Linked DNA regions of Caenorhabditis elegans. The protein of the gene in region 2 interacts with the protein of the main gene of each other region in a pairwise test. Each region holds a gene or a part of one and is shown on either strand. Other genes may lie near its edges. The genes, in order: sut-1 and unc-34.

Region 1 (5,002 bases), on a different chromosome or scaffold from region 2:
GGGTCGGCAAGCACATTAATCAGTGAGCCAATGCTGACTTTTTCGAGAATATTCGAGTGGCAAGACGTCGAATCAAAGTAGATCGATTCGGAATTTTGCAGGAAATTCGCTTCCATAAAATGATTTTTCATAATTTTTGTGATGACAGCGGCGCCGGATCGGCCCGGCGAATTTCGGCACTTTTCAATGACGAAAAATGGGATTTTATCGACGTTTCCGTGGATTTCGACGCGGAATGGTACTGCCGCCAGGATAACGTCCACCATTCGATTCGTGTTCTCTCGGTGTCTCTGGAAAATTTGAATTTTTGGTGAAAATCCGCTTTTTTAGCCCAAAAATTCAAATTTCCCGCCGACCGCAAGCTGTAAATGCGCTCTATTGCAAATTTTGCATCGGAGCGCATCTGCAGCATGCGATCCGCGGGAAATTTGAAATTTCAGGTTTAAAACTGATATTTTGAACGAAAAAAGTGAATTTTGAGTAGAGATATTCTGTGTAAAGTAGTATTCTGACGGGAAATTTGAATTTTTGAGTTAAATTCTATCAATTTCAACCCAAAAATTCGAATTTCTCGCTGACCGCAAGCTGCAAATGCGCGCTAATGCAAAATTTGCATTGGAGCGCACTCGCAGCACGCGGTGGGTGGGAAATGTTTTTTTAAGTGGAGAATGCACGTTTTTCAGCCAAAATTAAATTTTTCTTCGAAGAAAATTGTTTTTAAAAAAATTTTTCAATGAAAAATCTAATTTTCGGCAATAATTTATTTAAAATTCACTTTTTCAATTAAAAATTCAAAGGCAAAACCCCGTTTTTTTCGCAATTTTCTCAATAGAGCACATTTTTTCCGTTGGAAAATTCAAATTCCCGTACATCTTTAATCTCGAATTCGGTGCGTCCAATGCTATGCGCCTTTAAGGTCTCGTAGCGAATAACAGGCGAGCAGTTCGGATGGAAAGCTACAGTAATATTTCGTTCGGTGACTCCAATTGCGACGCCAGCAGTCGACGGGGAGTTGAATGTGACGAAAACCTGCTCGCGGAGCATTGCACAACCTGAAAATTTGAATTTCTCATGATTTGTTCGGTGGAGCGAGCTTGCAGCATCCGGTCGGCGGGAAATTCAAATTTTTAGGTTATAAACTTGAATTTTCACCGAATTTTCGAATTTGCAAGTGTTTCAGGGTGAATTTTGGCGGGAAATTCGAATTTCCGGGTCAAACTTACACTTATAAACCTCCATTTTCTCGATTTGCACTATAATATGATTCCCGCGGACCACCCGTTCGAAGCTCCGGCTCCAGAAGATCTGAACGACGGATCCCACACCGATTGGGTCGAAATTTGACGGATATTGTATACACGTGGCTTTTGAGAAGATAAAATGAATGCCGGAATCCTGAAAATTGCGAGTTTTTAAATTTTTTGCAAAAAAAAAATTGGAAAATCATGGTTTTTTTTTCGATTTTTAACTGTTTTTTCGTCGTGTTTTTAAGGCAATTTTTGCGATTTTTATCAATAATTTGCATATTTTAGGACTCCAAATATCGATTTTCCCTGGAAATTCCCTTACATCAAACGCCTCCTGCGTAATAACCTCTCCGGTACCATTCGAATAGCATATTATGACACCAGACGAGCTTGAATCTGAATTTACAAGCTTTAAAATCAAATTTGGCACTAAAAACTCACAATTTGCGCCTTCAAACTGGTCTTCTTGCTCGATTAAATTGAGTTTTGACTCGGATTCGTGCGATTTCACCCGTAATGGTCGACTATTTACAAGAACGGGTTGCATACCTGAAGAAAAATCGGATTTTTAGGAATTTTTATTGATTTTAACAGAAAAAATCAGAAAAAACGGGAGAAAATGAATAAAAATAGCGAAAAAATCAGCGAAATTAATTCAAAAAATCGTGGTGGCCGAGTCTAAAGTCAAAATGGCCTAGAAAACCCCTCCTCGGCCACCATTTATTTTTTTGAAAAAAATTGTTTTTTATCGATTTTCGCCAGTTTTCCGTCGATTTTCTCCATTTTTTCTCATAAAATCTATAGAAAGTTATTTAAATTTCAGATAATTATGTCGGGAGCCTCGAAAAAAGTGAGTTTTTATCGTTTTTCAAGGATTTTTCGCAGAAAATCGATTTTTCTCTATTTCCAGGTATCAGAGGAAGAGTTGCAGAAGCAATACGCAGACTATCGAGCTCAATTCGAGCAGTGGAAGGAGAATAATAAGTGGGAAACTCGAGTTTCGGGGAAAAATTGCAAATTTGGATGATTTTCAGGGGTTCCATTGGCACGGAGGCTTATAATTCGTATGTACAGCAATTCGAGCAGTGGGAGAAAGAAGTGGAGGCGAGAACGTCACAGGTTCGTAAAAAAAACCTAAAAATTATAGAAAAATCTGGAAAAAAGACAATTTTTGACCCAAAAATGCTGAATTTACTTTAAAATGTTCAATTTTCAGCAACAAAAGCACCGAAAAGCGGCGGCAGTTGACAAGGAGGCAGAAGCGGCGGCGGCCGCCTACGCACAATCACAAGAAGCCTACATGGCACATCATTTGAGAGGAATGGAGCAGACGGAAATGCAGAAAAGAGCCGCTGCTGCAGCTCAGCTCCAGCAGCAACAAATGATGCAGAATATGATGATGCAGAGACCGCCACGTACGGTTTTTAACCGGAAAATTTGAATTTTTCGCTGAAATTTGCATTAGAGCGCATTTGGAACAGCCGAAATTCAAAATTCCGTAAAAATTTGACTTTTTCGCCGATATTTGCATTGGAGCGCCCTTGAAACACGGAGAAATTCAAAATTTTGTAAAAATTTGATTTTTCCACCAAAATTCGCATTGGAGCGCACTTGGAACATTCAATATTTCAAAATTTTATGAAAAGTTGAATTTTGAACCGAAAATCTCAGTTTTCCGCTACAATTCACACTAGAGCACATTTGCAGCACCGAAAAGTTCAATTTTTACGAAAAAATCGAATTTCCCGCTGAAATTAGCATTAGAGCGCACTTGAATCACTCGGAAATTCAAACTTTTGTTAAAATATAAACTTCCGCCTAAAATTTGCATTAGAGCGCACTTTAGACACTAGAAAATTCAAGAATTCTGTGAAAATTTAAATTATTATTTGAAATTTGCATTGGAGCGCACTTGAAACACTTGAAAATTCGAAATTTTGTGAAAATTTGAATTTTTCACCAAAATTCGCATTAGAGCGCACTTGAAACACTTGAAATTTCAAAACTTTAGAAAAATTTTGAATTTTCCGTTAAAATTTGTATTGTAGCGCATTTTAGACACTAGAAAATTCGAATTTCTCGCTAAAATTCGCATTAGAGCTGATTTGCAACACCGACAAATTCAATTTTTAGGAAAAATTCGAATTTACCGCCAAAATTCGCATTAGAGCGCACTTGAAACACTCAAAAATTCAAAATTGCCAAAAAATTCAAATTTCCCTCTAAAATTCGCATCAGAGCGCACTTGAAACACTCAAAAATTCAAATTTTTACCAGCAGAACACCAGCAACCACCGCCACAAGACGTGATGTTCGGAGCCGTAGGACGTGTAGCTCAGGGAGCTCCAGCCGCCGCACCACCGCCCACGCAACAACCACCACCACAACTATGGGGAAACAATAAGCCGATCTACGATGCGCGGGACCCACTTTTTGCGAAATGGGGTGAACGAGCGGCGTCGGCACACTGCAAACCGGAGACCGAGCAGCAAATTGTAGGGAATTTTTGGAAAATCCTGGAAAATCTGAAAAATAGCCCGAAAATATCTGAAAATCCCGAGAAAATGGCGTTTTTGAGGTGTTTTTGCCTATTAAAACACGAATTTTGACCCGTTTTTGACATTTTTTCTCAAAAAATGCGTTATTTTCCCCCAAAAGTTCAAAATTCCCGTTAAAATTCAAATTTTAGCCAGAAATTTGAATTTCCTAGCTAATGCAAATACGCTCTACTGATAATCTGTGACTTGTGTGCCTTTATCCTCATTGATGGCTAGAATATCGGTATTCTCGGCTGAAACATGCAATAAATACCGTATTCCAACCAACAATTTGTGCAATAGAGCACATTTGTCACTGGGGATGCGGAAGCTATGCCCAAATTTTGAATTTTTCAGAACCCGGTCGCCTGTTGGCTCCTTCTAGATGCTCTCCGCGAGAAGAAAATGGTCCTGGCTCCGCACTCGAACACGTGTCCTCCTCCACAAATCGGTGGACATCAAATTTGATAAATTTTGTACAATTAAATAAAAATATTTTTTTTTCACTTTTAATGAATTTTCAACAAATTCCACCGTTTTTTTTTTCGTTTTTTGGGGAGTTGATAGGCGTGTAGGCATGTAGGTAGGCTTGAGGTAGGCACGAGACAGGTGTGTAGGCAAAAATTTAGAGAATAGGCATGTATGCAGATAGGTAGGCATGATGTAGTTGTGTAGGCATCAGGTAAGAGTGTAGGCACGTTGGTTAGCATTAGGTAGGAGTGTATGCAGATATGTAGACATGATGTTAGCATGTAGGTATGAGGTAAAAGTGTAGGCGCGTAGGCAGGTATGCTGTAGGTAGGCAGGTAGGCGTGTAGGCATAAGCTAAGAGTGTAGGCACGTAGGTAGGGATGAGGTAGGTACGTCGGTTAGCATGAGAGAGGCATGTAGGCACGTAGGCACGTGACAGAGTAAGGATATTATAATTGAATCAAGGTGATGCTCTTTTTTTAGTAAAAGTGTGCACTTTTGGATTTTTAGGTAAAGCCATGTTTAGAAATTCATAAAAAAAAATTTCTGTCATTGCGTGGAATCGAACCCCAGACCCATTTCGTACCAGTCAGCCCTCTTACCAGTTGAGCCAAAAATTCAATTTTTCGGAAATTTTCAGAAAACTTAGAAAATCATTTTTATTCAGAATTCAGCCTTTTTATAGGTAGGTGTTTCAAAGAGTTCAAAACTAAAAAAATTAACTTCCGCCACTTATTTCAAAAAGTG
Region 2 (5,192 bases):
TGTACAATACGCATTCTCAGTTTCAGACTAATGGGGCCATTTTTCGATGTATCGTTTTTTGTTTCAGGGGGGGGGGGGGGGGGGGGGGGGAAATCAAGAAATCGGAAAAAAAAAGTTCAGAAAATTGAATTTTTTCAACAAATTGAATTTTTGTTCATGTCGATGAAAAAACAAAAAAACAAAAATTTTAAGATACTTTTTGAAAAATCAAAACATTTTTCTACATAGCTGAAAAACGAAATTATAGGGGTTTTCAACTCAAAACTTCCTGGGCTTTTTCGGCCATTTCGTGTCTTCGTGCGCCTTTAAACTACAGTGTTTTTTTCAAACTTAAAAATTTGAATAAATATATTGCCCACGCAAATGTATATTGAACACACTGCATGTTTGCACTTTGTTCGTCATACAGAAAGTGAGACGACGACGACAATGAGTCATTCACTTTTTTATGACAATTCGAAATCTAATCTCTTGTGTCTCGAAGCGATTTCCTTAGAAGTTTTAATTTAAGAAACTACCTTTTATTGTTGTTTAAAAAACCATGATCCCCCCCCCGTGCAACTCGTTTCCGGAAACGGTCTCCATCAGCCTGTGTTTCGTCACTCTCACCCCTTCCCCATTTTTTGTTCCCACTCGGAAACTCTTTCTCTCTCTCGGGTTTCTCACTGTAACGATGGCCGGCACAACAGACAATGAATTTTGATATTTTTGTGTTTTCTGTTTGCACAGTTATTAGAGCATTTTCCATTTTTTTCGCGGGGTTTTCACAGTTTTTTTTGTTTGAAAATTAAAACAAAAATCATGAGTTCAATCAAAAATAATTATTTAGTTTTTCAATTATAAACGAATTTGGCAAATTTTTACAATGTTTTCCATTGATGGGCAATATTTTTTTAATGAAAAAAACCTACAAAAATACCAAAAATTTGAATCAAAAAAGTAATTTTTGATTCATTGCACACTTTTGAGCTCAAAGCAAAAACAGCACTTTTTTTTTCAAAAATTTTACCAAATTTTGAAAATAATTTTTTACGGATTTTTAGGTGTCAAAAAGTGTTTGAAAAAACCAAAATTTCTCAATTTTTGAAAAAAAATTGTTCAAAAAATATATTTTTTCGATTTTCAGAAATTTCTTTTTAAAAAAATCGATATCACACTTTGCTGAAAAAATATTTGCAAAATCTGTAAAAAAAAAATACAAAAAAACTTTTTTAAAACAAAATTTTTCCCAATTCTAGAAAAAAATCATTAATTCCGACCAACGAAAAATCGATAATTTTTCGATTTTTTTTCAAATAATTCCAAAAAAAATTTCTCGATTATCCTAAAAATCTTAAAAATCGATTTTTTTTAAATTGATTTTTTTAAAAATTTTCTAAAAAAAAATTTCCCGCTTTTTGAAAAAAATTCAAAAATTCTTTAACAAATGTTTTCTCCGATTTTCTGAAATTTTGAAAAAAAAACTAGATTTCTCGAAAAATAGCTTCAAATTTGTCCATTTTCCTCTTTTTTCCTCTTTTTAGAGATCAAAATGAACAAAATTTAATAAAAAGTTTAAACGATTTTTCCAAGGTTTTCCAGAAAATCGAAAATTCAATTTTCTGAAAAATCGATTTTTTCCCCTCCCCGAACATTTTTCCCTATAAATCTCGTTCTTTTTTTCGTCATAAAAAATGCATATTTTTCTGTTTTTTCCCTTCTCACATTCTCATTTTTCAGCCAAACCTCCACCAAAAAACTTCAAAATTTTTGCCGTTGCATTTCGAATGCGTGAAACACTGACCGATTGCTGTTGCTGCTGCTGTTGACAAGACACAAAATCTGCCGTAAAAGTGCACTTTTTTGAGCAAAAAGAGCAAAAGGAGATTAGATTGCACTTTTTTGAGCCAGAATGAGGTAATAATGACTATGGAGATGGGGAACTTTTTATGGGAAAATTTGAAAAAAAATTGAAAAAAAAAACCAAAAAATTGGCCTAAAAATTGCAAAAGTTCGGCCACGAGCTTGTGTCGATTTACGCAGCTCGTGTACTTCCCGAGGAAAAGTGTGAATTTTATGTTTTAGGCCAGTTTTTGGCGCTAAAATACTTGATTTTTGACCATTTTCGCTAAATTTTGATCGTTTTCACGTATTTTCGTTGTTTTCAGCATAAAATTATAAAAATTTTGAACAAAATACTATGAGTTATTGATAAAATCGCGAATTGAGTGTAAAAAAAATTTTCAAAAATCGATATTCTCCTCGTGGAGTACACGAGCTCCGTAAATCGACACAGAGGAGCATTTTTTTTCAGAAAAAAATTTGCATGCTCCTCGGGGAGTACACGAGTTATAAAATTTATTTGCCAATTTTTTCGTGCTGGGACCTAATAGGAATGCTCCTTTGAATGCAGACAATTGAAAAAAAACTGTTTTTAGCAGAATTCCCTTCAAAATGAAACCAACGACCAATCAGCGATTCGCACCGCCCACTTTCTAACCAATCAGTAGCTACAAGCATTCTGATTGGTTCAAAAGTGGGCGGAGCGGTTCGCTGATTGGTCGCTGTTCTCATTTTGAAGGGAATTCAGTTTGAGACTATTTTGGGGTTTTTTGAAGCGAAATTTTCATTCACGCTACTCTCCGCACGGATTTCTGGCTTCCCTCATAAATTGAAATGGAAGAGTTTTCCGAACTAGGCCATTTTGGCTCGGCCATATCTGGGGTAGATTTACGGCGCGTTGCGTGTCTCGTTGCGGCTCGATTTTAGTTGTAAAGCTAAATGTATTTGTCCGTGTGGAGTACACGACACTTTTCCACGCGTTGTCCGGCGGACGATTGTCAATGTAGCGCGAAAAATTCAATGAGCAAGGCCAGAACCCCCGTGTCTCCGCGATCTACCACCCAGCAAAAATCCATTTTTTGACTGATTCACAGCGTCTGACTGTAATGTTGACACTGAAGCTCTCTAATGTTTTTTTTGTGTGTGTGTGAGGTGATGCTGTGTGTTCCTATTTGCACAAATACCTAGTGTCCAGCAGAAGGAAGAGAACTGGATGAGCAGTGAAAAGAGCCCGTGCCAATTGCTGCCACTTATCATGTCCGGCTCGACCTCCGAGAGAGGGACGAGACTAAAATTAAATGAAATGAGAAACAATAAAAATTGAGTGGAAATTTAGAGAGTGATTGGATTTTTTTTGTAAAGTGGTGTAGTCGATTTTTTTTTATTGCTTTATTAGACTCAAATGTTTGTTTGAAAACACCGATTTTTTAAATGAAACTTCTTGAAAACTTCTCCAAAAAAAAAGTTATGACCGCTCGAAAAATGACCTAAAATTAGTTGAAATTTGAAATTTGAAAAATGCCGCAGCGGCTGGAAACAATATTTTGGAAAACTCCCGACTTTATTATACCTAAATGAAGTTGAAAATGCAAGATAATTGAATTGCATACTCAAAATTTGAAGGTGATTTCGAAAAAGTTAGTTTCCAGTCGCTGTGACAAGTCAAATTTCGAATTTCAACTAATTTTAGGTCACTTTTCAAGCCGCCATAACTTTTTTTTGAGAAGTTTCATTATAAAATTCGGTGTTTTCAAACAATTTTGAGTCTAATAAAGCAATAACAAATTTCGTCTGCAACACCACCTTTAATCAGATACCATTATTTAAAGTTTCGAAAATCTAGTAGGTTCGCATATATAAGTGGTCGGTTCTATTACATCTGAAAGAGCTCAAAATTCGCAACTTGTGCAAAAAGTTGATCCGAACCTTTTTTAAAAGATGACAAAAATCTCATTTTTTACCTTCTTCAATTTCGCCAACTTTCGAATTATCGAAAATATTCTCAAATTCCCTGAGAATGTCATATTATTAAATTGCGAGTGAAAAAAGTTACAATTCCACAAAAACCGCATTTACTATGATGATAGAAATTACTTTTTCACACTTTTTACCTCGATATTAGTCGAATTGCCAAACATTTTCGATTTCCGGCCACCGAAAAAAAACCAACTTTTTCTTGTCATTTTTGAAACAAGTATATTTTGAAAAAATGATTTTTAGTGCAATCATATTACATGTGCACGAAATTCGGAGAATGCGTAGTTTTTGTGTCGATATACGAGCTCGGTTCGATAAATCAATTAGTTTCGAGCCCGTAAATCGACACAAGCGCTACAGTAGTAATTAAAAAAATTACTGTGGTTTTCGGTACGAGATTTTTTGCGCGTCAAATATGTTGTGTAATACGCATTCTCAGAACTTAGTTTCATTTTTTCCCACCAAAAAATTCAAATTTTCCAGTAGCGAAGCATGTATCGCGACGGCAATGGCCCGAGTGATGACCTACAACGAATCGACAAAAGGATGGGTACTACTCGGCGGAAATGATGATTCAATGACAAATGTTCGCCTAATCCAAGACATTCGGCGACCCGAGTTTCGGATTGTATCCAACCGCGCTGACAGCACGAATATCTTGAATTGTAATATTTATCGAGGAATCAAATATCACAAGGCCACACCAATGTTTCATCAATGGCGTACCGAACAGCGGCGGGTGTATGGGCTGAATTTCGAGAATGAACAGGATGCGACAATGTTTTTAAGCATTGTGTTACAGGCGATTGAGACGTTGAAAGTTCATGATATGAATGGAATTAGTGATTATCAACAGATGCATCGTGCGTTTTTCAAATATAGCTTTCACACGACAAAAATCCCAAGATATAAAAAAACCTAACCAGAGATAAAAATCGAAAATAAAAAATTATCGATTTTCCGGAAAAACGAAGCATCATAACATTGTATAAAATTTATGTTTAGTTTTCATCAGAAACACATCAGAAAACGTATAATTTTTTTGCTCATTTTTCTACAATTTTTAATTTTCCGACACTACTTGAATAACCCCATAAATTATCAAAAAATCATCAAAAATATACAAAAAATACCCAAAAATATCGAAACTGTCAAGTGACTTTTTCAATAGAAAATGGGGTGCAGCACTATTTTTTGGACATTTTTTGAATGCAGCACTATTAGAGACTGCAGTACTACTGGATATGCAGCACTATTAGAGAATATACGGTATATATTTATTTATTTATTTATTTATGGTCTCCAAAAAACAAAAAGTTCTCTGTTTTTCTCTGAAAGTTCACAAAAAACTTATTTGTTATTAATTTTCAAAGATAACTTTCAAAATTCTATAT

The links.
Region 1: the proteins of unc-34 (region 2) and sut-1 interact in a two-hybrid assay, tested with the Caenorhabditis elegans proteins (one study listed by BioGRID).

The regions. Positions count from the first base shown.
Region 1 is NC_003280.10:1,120,328-1,125,329, reverse strand, and holds sut-1 (SUppressor of Tau pathology), read left to right. Parts: upstream 1-2,064; 5' UTR 2,065-2,076; coding exon 2,077-2,097; intron 2,098-2,157; coding exon 2,158-2,231; intron 2,232-2,281; coding exon 2,282-2,366; intron 2,367-2,463; coding exon 2,464-2,662; intron 2,663-3,524; coding exon 3,525-3,742; intron 3,743-4,141; coding exon 4,142-4,252; 3' UTR 4,253-4,317; downstream 4,318-5,002. Other genes in the region: eri-3 (Reverse transcriptase domain-containing protein), read right to left, coding at 1-290, 871-1,052, 1,224-1,395, 1,570-1,643, 1,689-1,794.
Region 2 is NC_003283.11:980,815-986,006, forward strand, and holds the start of unc-34 (WH1 domain-containing protein), read left to right. Parts: upstream 1-1,891; coding exon 1,892-1,896; intron 1,897-1,996; exon of another isoform or gene 1,997-2,092; intron 2,093-4,281; coding exon 4,282-4,661; intron 4,662-5,192.